Lonchura striata: one gene and its partner. The protein of the gene in region 2 interacts with the protein of the main gene of each other region in a biochemical or structural test. Links are inferred from orthologs where the notes say so. Each region holds a gene or a part of one and is shown on either strand. Other genes may lie near its edges.

Region 1 (7,827 bases), on a different chromosome or scaffold from region 2:
AAGCGTTGGAGGATTTTATTAGGAAGAGCCCAACTTCAAAGCCAGAGGTACAGTACAAATTTGTTACATTCTCTATTCATGGAGCTCATTCAGGAGCAGGAAGGACCGCCTCAGGGGAAACCCTGTATTTGCATCTGCACCAAGAATCTTCTTTTGACTGATGTTAAGAGCACTCCGAAGTTTGTGTGGAAGGCGAAACACAAAACGCAGAGAGGAAAGAGACCCACAATGGAAAGTCATTGGAAAACTCCACTCCTAATTCATCCACCTAGAAAAGTCCTTAGTGTATTGTTTGTAGTCACTTCCCAGAAGCTGACAATAGCATTGCTCTTCACAGCTACCTTTTGAGAACCTTTCAGAAATAGTGTGTGATTCCCAAAAGGCTGCGGACCACAGCTCACTGCACAGGTTTTTGTAAGTATGGCCTAAATTTAAGACAGGTGATAAAAACCCAGTAGTCAAGGCCGAATTATACTTATTTCAAAACCCATCACAAAAAAAGAATAAATTTTATTTTTTTCACCAGCAATTCTATGCAACAAGATATTTAAATTTGAGATACTCTACCACATTTTATAATAAAAGTGGATATTGGATATCAACAGACAAACTCCATCTTGGTGCATGGCCTTCACAAAAATAGACAGAAACGCTTCCAAGAAGTTCTGATTGGATCCCAAGACTTCTCCCAACATGGCTAAACCCCTTTATGCAACAGGCATGGAGTTCTGCAGATTCTCCAATGTTCCACAGTTAGGATCTGCTCTGATCTGCAAGCCAAAGACTACAACTTCAGCTCCCTGAACAAAAAAAACCAAATCGCTGTTAACTGTAGAGAAACTGATACATATAATTAAAAGCTGATTAGTGATACAATATTTCTCCTAAGGCAGAGAATTTAATTCAGCCATTTCCTCTTCTAATGTAAACCAGCTAATAGCTGGCAGCCCAGGCAGAGTAGGACAGATTAGCAGAGAGTTGTGGCAGGAGTCGTTCTACTTAAGAGAACTTAACAAAATCAAGCTCCAAGTTTTCACCCAACAACAGGAGAGAAAGAACTTCTGGTGTCCATAGAGGTTTTACCTCACACAAGCATTTCCTGCACAGGACAGCAGTAGGAAGCTCACCTCTACAACAGAAACTCTCAGCTCTCACTGCTGGCTGAGCTAACAGCTGGAGGAACCACTAAGTGGAAAATGCCAGGATAAACAGGCCTTCACATTACTTCTTACTTGCAACCTGCCATCACTGCCAGCAACAATTCTTTTAGCGTTTGAGCTCCAACTGCAGCAAAACCCTAATCAATCCCTTAAGCAACAAGGTTTCTTCCCAAACAAGGGCCTTTGCCATTCTTCACTACAGACCTAAATTTCCCTCAGCCTCCAAAAATCTTATGTCAATACAGTCAGTATGTTTTAAGCTGTTGATAGAAAAGAAGTGCTAACGTGACTGGAAACTCTTCATGAGTATCTAAGATTAGACATAGGTGTAAAAACAGACTGATCAGACCACCACCAAAGTACTGATGTGCACAATGACTAAGAAATTATTTATATTTTGAAGTCTCAAATTTGCAATATCTTAGCCCACTGTGTCATTTTAATACAATACTCCCCTAGACAATAAGGGCTAACAAACTTCTTGCTAGAATCACTTGAAAAACAACACTTCTGTGGACAAAAACAGCAATAGCTTTGTCTGTCAGAGCAGCATACAGGGAGGATGTTATTCTGCTGTTGCTCAGGTCTCTAATTAGATAAAGACATACAGGTTGAAATGAGCTGTAACTAAAGAAGTTGAGCATTTACTAGTTTTTTTTTCAAGTACTAGGGTAGGGACAGGCCAATGTGACATAAAGAAAACATTCAGGGGTGACTTGATCATGTTCCTTAGCCCCAGAAGAAGGGGCTGCGCAGCTAAGCGATCCAGTTAAGCAAAAAGCAAAAGGAACTCCTCTTCACACGGGATTAGACACTAGACACTTATCTTGATAGCTAAACATCCAAGAACTTCCTTCATGCCACTCTCCCACATAAACAACTGCTGTTCCTGGTGTCAGACACTGTGTCAGCAGAGACACTGAACAGCAGATTCACATTCTGTGATAACACATAGCTACGTAAGGCCAAGAGAAGCTGGCAGTGCCCCGTATGGGCAGGGCTGTATGGGTACACAGGGATGTGCCCGGCCTGCAGGCTGCAACAGCGGGTTCGCTCCGGTCCGTGCCGCCGCACTCGAGCCCCAGGCCCCTGGCCAGAAGACAGAGCCCGGCACTCCTGACCGGGGGGGAAACTCCAGACCCTCCCTCACCTTCTGCGGGAACACCTCCACTGAGTAACACGCACGCCCTTTTCATAAGACCTGCCCCAGATGGGGCCTTCATCAGCAACCCCTCAGGCGTGGACCCTCCAAATCACCCCAGAAACCCCAATACACTCTCCTGTCCTCAGGGCACACCTCTCCAGACCCTTCTATTACCAGCACATTCTCTCCAGGAGCCCCCTCCAAACACACACCTAGGCAACCAACTGCACCCCCAATCCCCCCATCCGCAGACCCGCTGCATGTCCCCAAAACTCCCGCAAATCACCCCTGACACAGAACGCAACCCCCAGTCCCTGCCCTTGCCACAACCCTCCCCAGCCCCTCCAGCTTACCCCGTGCGACGGCCCCAGCCCCAGTGCTTCTCCCAACCCTCTCCCACTCCCACTCCTCCTCCCAAACCCTCTCCTATCCCACACAAGGCGCCGGCCCCGCGGCTCCCCCCGGCTCCACGCAAGACCCCGGCCCCATCCAGGCCGCCTCACCAGTACTTGAGGATGGCGGTGACCTGGAGCGGGTTGGGCTGGTCGGGATAGAGGCGGCGGCACTCGCCGTAGATACCGTGCAACCCCGGCGGGAACAGCGACGGGAAGGACCCGGACCCCGAGCCGGACCCCGGCCCGCCCGCGGGGGGCCCCCCGCCCGGCCGCACGCCCTCCATGTCCCGGAGGCGGCTGGTCCCGGCCCGTCCCGGTTGGTGCCGAACCCGCTCCGCTCCCGCCAGGCGCTCCCGGCCCGGCCCTGCCCGGCCCAAGCGGCTGCGTGGGGCCGCGGGAGGAGGGGCGGGGCCTACTGCCGGGCCGCGTGAGTGACAGACCGCCTCCGCCAATGGCGGCGCTGCGCGGGGCTTCGCGCAGAGGAGGTGGGGCCCCGCTGCAAGGGCGGCGTTGAGTGACAGGACGGACTGACCAATGGGAGCTCGCCGCCCGGAGGGCGGCCGCGTCTCTGCCCCGCCCCTCGCTGCGGGTCGGGCGCGCCCCCTAGCGGCGGCGCGGGGCTGGGCGGTGGGCGGGGCGGCGGCCGCGCGCGGCGGTGGCGGGAACGCGGAGCGGGTCCGGGGGAGCGGGAGCTCCGCGCCCGGCGGGCCCGGGAGCACAGCGGGGCTCTGACTGCTGCCTTTACACCCCCGCCAATGCAGGGCCCTTGGAGGCAGCTGGAAGCTGCCAGTGCGTGAAGTCTGGGGCTCTGCGATCGCGGATTCTGGCTTGTGCACAAGCGCACTGACGGTCTGGCTCATTCCCGAGCTGCAGCTACAGCTGTGGAGGTGCAAAGCCGGGTATGTACATGTGGATGGTGTGTGCGCAGTAGTTTACACACCTTTGCTAGAGCAGGGTCCTGCTTGTTAATCAGGAAATAGAAAAAAAAAGAGCTATAGAGTGCTCAGCAGAGATGGTGGGCGCCCTGCTCGCATTTCTCACTTAAATAGGTGAGAGTTTATTCTAAAAACTTTCACAACACCATTTGGGGGAACACACATGGTGAAGAAGCTGACAGCCAAATGACAATCCTCTGATAAAGGAGGTGAGCAGTTGGTGTCCTCACTTTCCACAGTGAAAAATATTTCACTTGTCCTGTTACCATGATACTACTTTTTGTGTCATCTGCCTGAGTAGTCAGCTGCAGTCAGCTGAGAAGGTGAGTGTAACAGAGTATGTAGAAAGGCTGCGTTGGAAACACCCATAGTGAGTGTCTCCTGCCATTCACTGAAGTGATACAACACTGTCTTTCATCTAAACCCCTCAATCCTGCTGTATAAAAACTCCCTCTTTTAGACTAGGTGAATGGGGAAGGTCGCTAAATGTAAACATCTGGGATGAAACTTATCTACTGGAGCTAAAGGCAGGAACTACAGGAGAAAAGTCCATGTCTGCAGGAGAGATGTGGGACAAGACAGGTGAGTCAAGCCTTCAGGTTTGCTCAGTGGCATGAAAATCCATTTTAATTAGTTTCAAGATCCAGAGTTTCAGTGATCGATTATTCCAAGTGCTTTTAGAATACTTAGTCAATGGAAATGACAGTGTGTTCATTGTTCAATACTGAAATGATCATGATGTGTATTCTTTATACTGACACCTCTTTTGTGGTTCTTGTACCTCAAAAATGGAGAGAAACTGGTGTTTCGTGGAGGGAACAGATGACTTATGACCAGTAGTTCATAAAGATGATCACATGAAATTATGGGACAATAAAACACTTTCCGTAGTCATAGATACCCTCTACAGAAGTTGATATAATCACCTTTTTCTCCTTTCCTATTAGAAAAAATTAAGAGGGGAGAATCTATTAAGCGGAAGCCAGCCAGTTGCGGTGCAGCGTTTCCGGTGGAAGCACCCAGCTATCTCCTGGACCGCAACATTCTCCGGTGTCTAGGCCGTGGATGTGTCCGCAGGATTCCCTTTTTCCGCACTCCGCCTCCCGGCACGCCCCGCTCCCGATGCCGGCCTACAGTTCCCGGCATGGCCCGCTCCCAGCGCCGGCCTACAGTTCCCGGCATGGCTCGCTCCCGGTGCCGGCCTACAGCTCCCGGCGTGCTCCGCTCCCGGCGCGCCTCCCCGCTTGACTCTGCGCAGCGTCGGACTATAACTCCCGGCAGGCGCCGCGGCGGCAGGAATACATCACCCAGGCGGCGCCGCGTCGCCGCTCCGCGCATGCGCCGCCGAGGGCTGGGCTGTTGCTCCCTCACGGGCGGCTGCGGCGGGTCCTCGCCATGGAATCCTACGATGTGATAGCGAACCAGCCCGTCGTGATAGACAACGTGAGTGCGGGCGGCCGCGCGTCCCGGGAGCGGGGAGGGCCCGCAATCCCTTTGTCATCGGGGCGGCCGCTCCCCGCCCGCCGCCCCCCCCCCCCCACCTCGGCCGGCTCGGCCGCCGCCTCCGGCCCTCGCACGGCGCCATACGGCGTCCTCGGGGGGCGGGGCCGCTGCGCCTCGGCGAGTCGCGATTGGCTGGGGCGAGTGGCAGTCAGCCACGGCGGGGCCGCTGCCCCGCGCTGGGGGGCGCAGCCCCCGCCGCCGCTGAGCTGCCGCTGGTTGGGAGGGGCGGCGCGCCCCCATTGGCTGAGACAGCTGTCAGTCAGCGGCGCAGCCCGCTGCTGCCTGCCGGAGCGGGGCGGGACTGTCGCCAGAGCACCCGCGCTCATTGGCAGCTGGCGCTGTCAGTCGGGCGGGGCTTCCCCGGCCCCGCCCACCCCTCTTTGTGCCGGGGGGACAATGGGGGTGCTGGGCCAGGCCGTGGCCACACTGCCAGCGTGCTGTGGGGCAGGCCTTGGCCAGGGCTCCAGTGTGCTCCTGCTAGGCCGTGCTTGGACCCCAGCAAGCTCTGGGGGTGCTGGCGCTTCCCTGGCCCCGTGCAGGATATGATGCTCTGCAGCCAGGCACCCCTCGCAGGCCCAGCGAGGGAGAAGCCTTGACCTCTTGTGCCCCCTCATCCAGTGCATCCAGCACAGTGGTCACAACAAGGCAGTGCCCCTCACAACAAGGGAATGCCACTGCTGAAGGATCTGTTCCCAGGGTTACATCAGCGCAGTGTGGTGTTGCAGATGGCTGCTCCAGTATTGCTGATGGTGCTCATTAGCACAAAGCAGACCTTCAGTCTGTGTATGTAATAGCTCTGCAGGAGATGAATGACAGTGATTCTGTGCCTCTTTGAGGTACTTCTGGGTCCAGTTCTGATTTGCCCCATCCATGCTGCCCTCCCAGGAGGAAGGACCATCCAGGAAGGAATGGGAGGGCATGTCTTGGATAGAGCCTCCTTCAGTGTAATGAGTCACAAACTCGTGCTCCTCCCTTCTGACCTCTATCGCCAGTGATTGATATTCTGTTGTTTTGAAGGGTCAGTGCTGTGCTCCATTTTTCTTCCACAAGCTTAATTTCTCCCGATTTTTTTTTTTCCATATGAATTGGGTTTCCTGCCCTGGCAGTTCTCAGCCTATTGCTTTAACTCTCCATGCAGTGAATGATTGTAGGTCTTCTCAGATAACGGCAATTATTCTTCTGACTTTTTCTGTATTGTGGATCCCAAATTCCTCTCTCTGATACAGTTTTGGCTTTATTTCCCTGGAATCTTACAGATGAAGGATTTTAGTTAGACATGGAAGGAAAGCATCTAATAGAAAAGGATAGTAAGGAGTGAAATTGACTGTGTTGAGAAAAACATGTATGTCCTTTACTGAATATGTTAAAAAATGCATTAAGTTGATTGTTTTTAGGAATGCCTGTATCAGCACTGATCCTGCTGCATTGTTGAGTGATTAGCTAAACATTAAAGTTATCTCTAGGTATTCTGGAGCTGTGAGGATCACTTAGTTGAGCTATTAGTGCAGGAGCAGCCTATATTTAATTTCAGCATGTCCTTTTGTTATTTAGTGCAATGATTGCTGCCTCTGCCTCAGACCTGAAGAAGGCCTCATGTGCCAGCAGCTGATTCTGTGTCTTTTTCATTTTATCAGCTGGTCTTATAAAAGCTAATTCTTGTTCTTGCCTCTCCAATAAACGAGCTTCCCCCTTCCCCTCCCTTTACAAGAAGGAGAATGGAGCAGTTGTTGTGGCATCTGCCTGTAACGCTGGCAGGCTCTGGGCCAAGGAGACTCGTGGTGACACTGCATTTTTGCTACTCTTTGGAGTTCAGGCAGGATGGGAAGTGGAGCTGCACAGAGCAGGTACCACTTCTCACTGCTGTCTCATTACTGCTTTTCTGCAGAGAACTGAAGAAGGCTGAATGTTATCCTGTCTCACATGTGCCTGTGTGTGGAAAGGGGGAGGTGAGATACTGAGCTGGTGAGAGCCAGACCCCTCCAGTCCCAGCCCTGCTCTAGAATTAAAGTGTGTTCCAAAAGGACATGAAGTTCTGTAGCTAAAAAATTAACAGGGACGTTTATTTCTCTTACCACAAATTGCTCTTAGCTGTATGCTTTCAGCAGGGAGAGCTTTGTAATGTACAGTGGGAAGCTGGAGCTGTACCTCAGCACAACTTTTTACTCTTGATTGTCTAATTTTTAAGAGTTGTATTCCCATCTGCAGTCCAACAAGTTCTCTCTGAACGGTCTGGGAGCCCTGCTGAACATAATGCACATGTCAGTAGTCCAGCTGTGGCCTAAGTCAGTGCAAATTCCTTGACCTCCATAGAACTTGGAATTATCTCTGGTTTGCTTTGTAGTCTTTAGTGGTGGCATTTTATGCAGCTGAGCTGTCATCAAGGGCTCTTGTCTTTGGTTTGTTCTTGATCTTAAAAATTCTTTATCTAATAAAACAGTGTTACAACAATATGAAATGTGCACTCTCCATAGAAAGTGCTACATGAAAGATTGACTGGTGATTTCCATTTAAATTTGATTCCTAAAATGCATCAAGATGAATGAATCCATTAACAACTGGCCACAGAGCTAGTAGATGAGCATGTTCAGGGATTTTTCAGTATCTTCAGTAGATGGGTATGTTCAGTTCCTTCAAGACACTCAGAAGAATTTTTTATTAATTTATCTTCATTGACTATTACATTTTACTCA
Region 2 (7,332 bases):
TTCAAAATCACATAATCCTGCTTTTAAAGAAATAATTCCCTGTCCTTAAAATAGCCTCCTCTCATAGTTACTATTATTTATGCTTTTAGAATTGGGCTATACACAAAACTGAAAGTATTTACATACTAGCTGGTTATACCCAAACCTTCCTTATATAAACAAACTCTCAAGAGGCTGCCTACAGTTTACATTGCTAAACTCATTCACCATTACTTTTAATATATATTTCCACGACTGAAATACAGTGAAGATGGCAGTTTTTACATTTTTGGATTACTTTACTTTTAAAACACTGCATTCGTCTTCCTTCAAAATAATCATGACATATATAATTAAGAAACTGTCAGATCATTATCAATTTTTAATAAAGGACCTAAATGAAATAATTATAGGAATCAATCAGTGAGGCACCTCTCCAAATTACAATGCAATTGCACAAATATTCAAACTACTTAAGGCCAGTTCTGGAACATTTCAATCCATAATCTCTTTAAACACCACAACAAAACCAATTTTGGAACACAGAGAAACATAGTGATTTCTCACTATTCCAGTGACTTAAACGATTTCAAAACAGATACCTACAGCACAGAGAGACAGAGAGGCAGCCGTGCCCTCCTAAAAATGTTTCTTGGTTTAATCAGCCACATGTCTCAAGGCCTCTGGAAAATTTTGCTTCCAAGTTTTTCTGTAGCACGCACACAAAAGAAACGAAGTCTGCACGCTGAAGCTTAAAAAATCATGTTTATTGAGGCTTGCAAATGAAGCGGGAAGTAGCAAGGGTGCGACGAAGAGGAGCATTTTGCCGTGGGTTGCTACTTAATGTTCTTTTAGTGAAGTAGCCTCCAAAACGTGACACTGTGTATCAAACAGACAGCTATCCGTACCTCTGACTAAAAGGCTCTTTGAGATGAGTACAGTCCATCATTTCAAACTGAAGTGGCAGCTGGAAAATGTGGAACAGCTGGCAAGGAGCTGGGAGAAAATGTTTTACATAAATGTATCTACATACAAACTGGCAGAAGGCCACGGACACCGTACCCGCAGGACCGGATAAAAACTACGCACCAGAGGGTTAAAAACAAAACTGGGGAGTGAGATGGGGAGCGAGGGGCGTGTGTTTCCTTTTACCTTTTCTCTTCACGTGGTGCGCGGGTTGGGGAGCGGGCGCTAGCAGCTGCGAGCCGGCGGGCCCGTCCGAAGGCGCGGGGATTGTGCCAACACCCACCGACTTCACGGGACAATCGGAACCGCGGCGGGCGCGCCGCGCTCCCATCCTGCAAAGTTGGGCGGTGCACGGCCGGGCCGCGGTGCCGGCCCGGGGCGGCTCCGGGGCGCTCCCGCGGGGCGGCCGCGCCGCTCCTCCCGCCCGGCCTCGGCCGGGCCCGTCCCGCCGCCCCGCTCCCGCCGGACCCGCGCCAGGGCGGCGCGGAGCGGCCGAGCGCGCTGCTCACGGAGCCGCCGGCACCCCCGCGCCCCCCTCCGGGACCCGACCGTCCCCTTCCTCGCAGGGAGCAGCCGGCAGGGAACGACGACCCCCGGGCGCCCCTCCGCCCCGCCAGATGTGACAGCGGATTCGCCCCCGCTCCTCTCGCCTTTCCCCCTGCGAAGTTTGTGCCGGCCTCCCGCCGCACGGGCGTGAAAACCCCCTGGAGTCGCTCAGGGAGTAGGGGCGAGGAGAAAGAAGGGGGTGGAAATAAAACAGCAGCTGTCGCCCGCACATCGGCAGCTCTGCCGCGGGACGTGCCCGGCCGAGCCCGGCTCGGAGCGGGGACTGCCCTCGCCTCGCCCCGCACCCCGCGCCCTCGGCTCCCGCGCTCCGTGACAGCCATTTTGGGGGTTAGACACCTCGGTCCCCCCCGACCCCCGCCTCCAAGTTAGGGAAGCGGGAAGCGGGCCGGGAGCGGGGCCGGAGCGCTGGGAGACGACAAGAAAGTGGCCCGGAGTAGAGCCGGGGAACAAAGAACTTCTCGCCCAAGTGGGTACGTACCTGCCGCCGCTGCCGCCGACCCCCGCGCTGCCCATGGGCGAGGGCCGGGACCGCCGGCTCGTCCCCGCGCCGCTCCGCCGCCGCCGCGGCTAGCGGGGCCGGCCCCCGCCGCGGCCGGCGGGCATCCCGCGGGGCAGGGGGACGGGACGGGACACAGGCGGGACGGGGGCGGCAGAGGAGGGCCGGCGGGTGTTGGTGCTGGTTGTTTTATCCCTGCCCGCCTCCCGCGGGGAGCAGCCCGCGCCTCTGCCTCCGTGTGGGGGTGTGTGTGCGCGGGTCCGACATCAGTTTCAGTGATCTTGTAATCTGATCCCTTCTGACTCACTCGCACTGACTGACATTTCTGATTCGGTTCAACAAAAAGAGCAGAGGGGAGGAGAAAAAGAAGAAAAAGAAGAGAGGGAGCAAAAGAAAAAAAAAAAAGTATCCCCAAATCTACGGCCTGGTACCAGTTTTGGTGGGGAAGGGGGAACCCCTCCGTCCCGTCCCGTGCCGCCCGTCCCCTCCAGCCCCGCCACCGCCCCGCATTGTTTTGGCTCGGCGCAGCCACCGAAGGAGGGGAACAAACACATCGCGCCGAGGTACTCACGTGTCGGAAAAGTTGTCCCTCTCTCTTTCCTCCGTCTCGCGCGCTCCTCTCCGCCGCCTCCTTCAAGTTTTACAGATGTTGCAGGGCTGCTCGTCGTCGCCTCCCCCTCCTCCCAGCGCTGCCCTCTGGATCAGATCAGGGGAAAGGCTCTTTAGGGATAACTCCCGATTCAAACACCCTCCGCTAAACTTTCCCCATTCCCTCCCCTTCCTCTGAGCGGCGGAGAGGGCTCCGCTTTCCTTCCCCCCTTCCCTCCGCCCGTTCGGGACGCGGCTGGCTGCTGCCCGGGGCGCGGGTGCCCCGGGCGCGGCGGGGAGCGGGGCCGCTTGCCTGGGGGAGCGGCGGAGGGCTGCGCCCCGGGGTGCGGGTCGGGCCGCGGCCTGCCGGGCTGCGACGCGAGCTCTCGGCATGACACCCCCGCTCCCCCCTTCCTCCTCCTCCTCCTCCTCCCCCGCCATCCCCCCGGCCCGGCCCGGCCCGCCCCGGCGGCGGCCCAAGGGCGGCGACACCCCGCCCACAGCCAGAAGGCAGCGCGGGGCGACGGCGGGTCCCCCCCGGAGCGGCCCCTCCGCCTCGGGTCGCGCTTCCTCCCTCTCCCTCCTCTCCCGCTCCATCCTTCGGCTCAGCCTGCATCTGCAGCCCCATTTCCCGCGCACCGATGCCTTGGACACCCCCTTTTCCCGCCCGCCAAAAATCCAGGGCTTTTTGGGGGTAAACGTGCCCTTCGCGTGGGTTTTCTGTGTATGCTGCGCCTTTTGGGCTCACGTTCGCTCTGGCGCAGCAGGCTGACTTGACTGAAGGACTTCAAGGAAAGTTTCACCTAAGCCATGTGACACCGACAGATAGCTCTTTTGGAGAAAAAATACAAGTGCTTTGTCGAGGGGAAAAGTGGCGGTGATGCCTGCGCCGGCTCCTCCTTTCCCAGCCCACCTGCCAGCCTCCTCAGCACCCTGCCAGGCTCCTCTGGCCTTCAACCTACGAAACAGGGCTCTCAGCTGCCTCCGTCTTTGGCCCTCATCTCCGTTCTTCCTCCGGGCTCCTTGCGAGCAGGTTTCTCACAACAGCATGCTGCAGTCCAGAAATAGCAAGAACTAGGATGCCATTTGTTCCAGTATCTCCATCCTTCGGGAAATGATGTGTCCTGACAAGACACCTTACATTTCCAAAGTTTGCAGATTGCTCCCTGATATTAAAAAAGTCTGAGAAACCGTAAATTAACACTACCACAACCATTTTCCATCAAGTCACAAGGTGGGACTGGCTCTCGGGAAAAGTATATGTGTATATATATATATAAATATATTTAAATTGCTGCCGTCACAATATCAGATACTTTACATGCACTTTTGTTCATAACCTGACTCACAACACAGCCAAGTAAAGATTTGTTACTGATACATGCAATTTAGCAAGGTACCCGAGCTTGGGCTACATTTGGAAAGTCCTCAAAAAATTAGTGGTTCTTGACAAAATGTTATGTTTGCTGATGGAAATGAAAGACTGATTTGATGCTGTGTATTTCATAAAGCTTCTCTTAGTCTCACCATTGAAAATGTTGATTTTATTACAAAACAAAGCTGCAGGTATTTGTGGTTTGAGATTACTTGGTCCACTAGTTTTTTAAAAACAAAGAGAAAGCAATCTTACCTAACTCAAAGGGCCACTTCAACCCTAATTTCCTCAGGCTAACTGGCTTGGTGTTGTTTTTCACCTGTAAATCTTTTCTGGGTGCAAGAAGTAGCTTTAGCGAGATGCCTATAATACATGGATGTTCCTGCTACGGTCAGACTAATTGCCCTGGCGGTCCCAGGGATGCCTTTTATATGCACATTTTACAGCACCAGGTCAGCACAGCCTGACTTTCAGGATAGACACAGTAGTCAGATGCTGTCACACTGAGTGAGAGTTGCACATTGTTCAAGCTGCCACGCATGCCCGGGCACTGTTGGAGGTGGGCACCGGGGACCAGATGAGAGCCTGTGCTCTGGTGCCATGCCTCCGAAGCCAGTGATTTCACAGCACACCAAGAGACAAATCTGCCCCTGCTCCGAAGGAGCAGCCCCTGGCTGCCCAAGCAATACTGCTGACATGCATAGTGCTACACAGGGAAGAGGCATGTGCAACACCAGCATCTGAATGCCAATATGAAGAGCTGATATTCTTCCAACTTTTTTATCTTATATGACTTCCTTTTCCAGTCTCATGTTCCCAGGAAAATGTTAGCTGTTTCATGATATATGATAATAGTGGTGTAGTACTGCGGATGTTTTGTTTTAGCTATATGTGCTATATACACCACCATATGTATGTACTTTATGTGACATGCACACCACCCCCTGATACATATATATGTGCTGGGGGAGTGCTGGTGCACAGAGTGATTAGGCAAACCTCAGGTCCCTTTACAGATATGTTTAAGAGCAATATAATTCCTTCGGCCCATTGTACTCTTCTCTCATTTTCTGCCTCTTGCTTATTCCTTTCTATTTTATGCAATCAATTTTCTTAAACTCTTTTTTTTTTCTCTTTGTATAATGAAAACCCTTAAAAGTAACAGGGGAAATTAACCAACATCCAAAATGATACTTTGTAAAAGAAACAAATTAATGTGGAAAATCCTGTTTGACTCACCATTTATAATTCAGTATTGCTGATGTTAAGATACTGCTTTTAATAAAAGCTTAAAAGACATTTAAACTGGGGCATGATTTTGAGACTGGGCCTTCAGGTCAGTATTCATCTTAGACTTTTTAAAAAAATAAGCTATTTCCTCAGAGTTTGGACATCTTGTTACATCATGAAACAGCTCTTTGAGTTTTGGGGGTTTTTGTTTGTTTTTAATATTATTCACACCAACTCTTCTCAAGACACATATTTCTAATTTGAGATAAATAACCCAAAGCATTTCTCTACACTCAATTCACATTAAGACAGACCAAAAAATATAAAGAGGTGATAGAATGCTTTAACATTTGCTTATGAAAAATAGCTTTCTGATGCATTTTTGAGCAGTGAAAGTCTTGAGAGAAGGGAAACACAGAAACAATAACTGAAGTTTCTGCTTGTGCCTCTGTCTGCTCAGGCCAAGCAGAAAATAAAAACTGATGGTGAGTGGGTGACATTTGCCATTTGAAACGTACTGTAAATGTTTCAACACCTTGACAATGAAGAGTGCAAAAGAAGCTTAGAACATCCAACCCTTCAGCTTAACAAAATGAAAATGGGCAGCTCTGTTCAGGGAGGTGCCTTTCTTATCATCTTTCATGTCTGATTCAGAGGAATCGTACTTGAAAGATGCAATGGGAAGACAAAAACTACACATTAATAAAACATAATGATTTTTCCACGTCTGGATTGCGCCTCCAAGAGAAATTAACCTCTGAGATTTGTCTATGATGTTTCCCTGCAAGTAGGAATTGGCTCCTGCAGAAGACCTGTTGACCTGTTACAAAACTCATTTCTCTGACTCAATATGCCACAACCACAGGGCATTTCTGCTGTGAGTTATATCATGCATGATACTTTTGCATTTCTTCAGCCTACCTTGTCTCCCCGCTTCTTCTCAGCCTCTGACTTGAAAATTACAGTCCTCCAAGGTGTGCATTTGTCTTCTCCTTTTGCTGCACCTGTTGTTACAGGAAAGCACAGTCAGAAGGAGCAGAGACTCTGCTCATAAGCTGTATGCAAAAGACCTGATATTCAGTGACACCAAGAACCAGTCTCCTCACCACTCCCAGGTGCACCACCCTCCACCTTCTCTCCAATCCCAGCAAATGCTCTACAGGACATATTCAAGGACCTTAACTGTTGCTGTTTATCCAGTTGACATCCAGTAGAAGACAAAGGTTTTAAAACAGTCCCTTTCTTGACAGTAGGCAATTACAAGAATACATTCTATGAAATAGGTCTGCTGTGATTTCACAGGGACAACCTCAGGTAAAGCTGTGGAATATGGAGCAACGGCACCGATTTCTGGTCATTTATGCAATATCCATCACAAGAGAGCTTGACCAGTGCATCTTGCCCCTACCTACATATCTCCTGTGTTGCATGGCTGCCTCTTACAGCAGATGTGTCTCAAGAGTTACCTAGTGGAAGGAAAAGAGGAGTATAAGATGGTATCATGTCAGAATCCTCAAAGTCTGCACAAGCTGCAGCTGGGGGCACAAGGAAAGATTCATGGCCCAAGGTGGGATGAAGAACTGGTGCATGGAGGCAGCCACATTTGGGAAGGATATAAAGGTCAGGCAAAAACCTTATCTGCAGTTACTGTCAGGCAATTGATTTAGAAAAGGCAAATGATGTGGGGTCTGAGAAACAACTAATTGTTTGGTTCTGAAAGAAATTATAAACTGATGTGCCACTACACACTAGTGTAAATTAGTAACTTTGGATCCTTTCATTATTTGGATGTTTGATTTTTATTACTGCCATTGAAAAAAAAAAAGGAAATTTATCAGCAAATATCCAGATGTGTCAAATAGCAACCTTCATTCAGGAGTCTCAGTTTTCTAAGGATGGTCATTGCAGCCTTTCACAGACTTGATATACATAATTCCTCTGGTAGTCCATAGCAAGGAACCACTATATCTTTCTCCTTCTTTTGCTAACACTGGGGACATTGCTAGATTTCAGTGGAAAAAGGACTGAACCCTAATGATCAGATTTATCTTTCTACTCTAGCAGATCATTTTTTGTACACCGTCCTATTTCTCTGAATGGTGAATCTAACTAACCTAGCTATTTATAACAT

The links.
Region 1: the proteins of GLI3 (region 2) and SUFU are reported together in a solved structure, tested with the Homo sapiens proteins (2 studies listed by BioGRID and IntAct, with this or other methods). The link is inferred for Lonchura striata from reciprocal best matches to the Homo sapiens genes GLI3 and SUFU.

What each region holds. Positions count from the first base shown.
Region 1 is NC_134609.1:20,014,805-20,022,631, reverse strand, and holds the start of SUFU (suppressor of fused homolog), read right to left. Parts: upstream 3,044-7,827; 5' UTR 2,984-3,043; coding exon 2,808-2,983; intron 1-2,807. Other genes in the region: ACTR1A (alpha-centractin), read left to right, coding at 5,030-5,077. UniProt on the Homo sapiens protein: Negative regulator in the hedgehog/smoothened signaling pathway. Down-regulates GLI1-mediated transactivation of target genes. Down-regulates GLI2-mediated transactivation of target genes. Part of a corepressor complex that acts on DNA-bound GLI1.
Region 2 is NC_134603.1:104,409,893-104,417,224, forward strand, and holds the start of GLI3 (transcriptional activator GLI3), read right to left. Parts: upstream 3,017-7,332; 5' UTR 2,910-3,016; intron 2,839-2,909; exon of another isoform or gene 2,705-2,838; 5' UTR 2,580-2,704; intron 2,047-2,579; exon of another isoform or gene 1,991-2,046; intron 1,321-1,990; exon of another isoform or gene 1,132-1,320; intron 1-1,131. UniProt on the Homo sapiens protein: Has a dual function as a transcriptional activator and a repressor of the sonic hedgehog (Shh) pathway, and plays a role in limb development.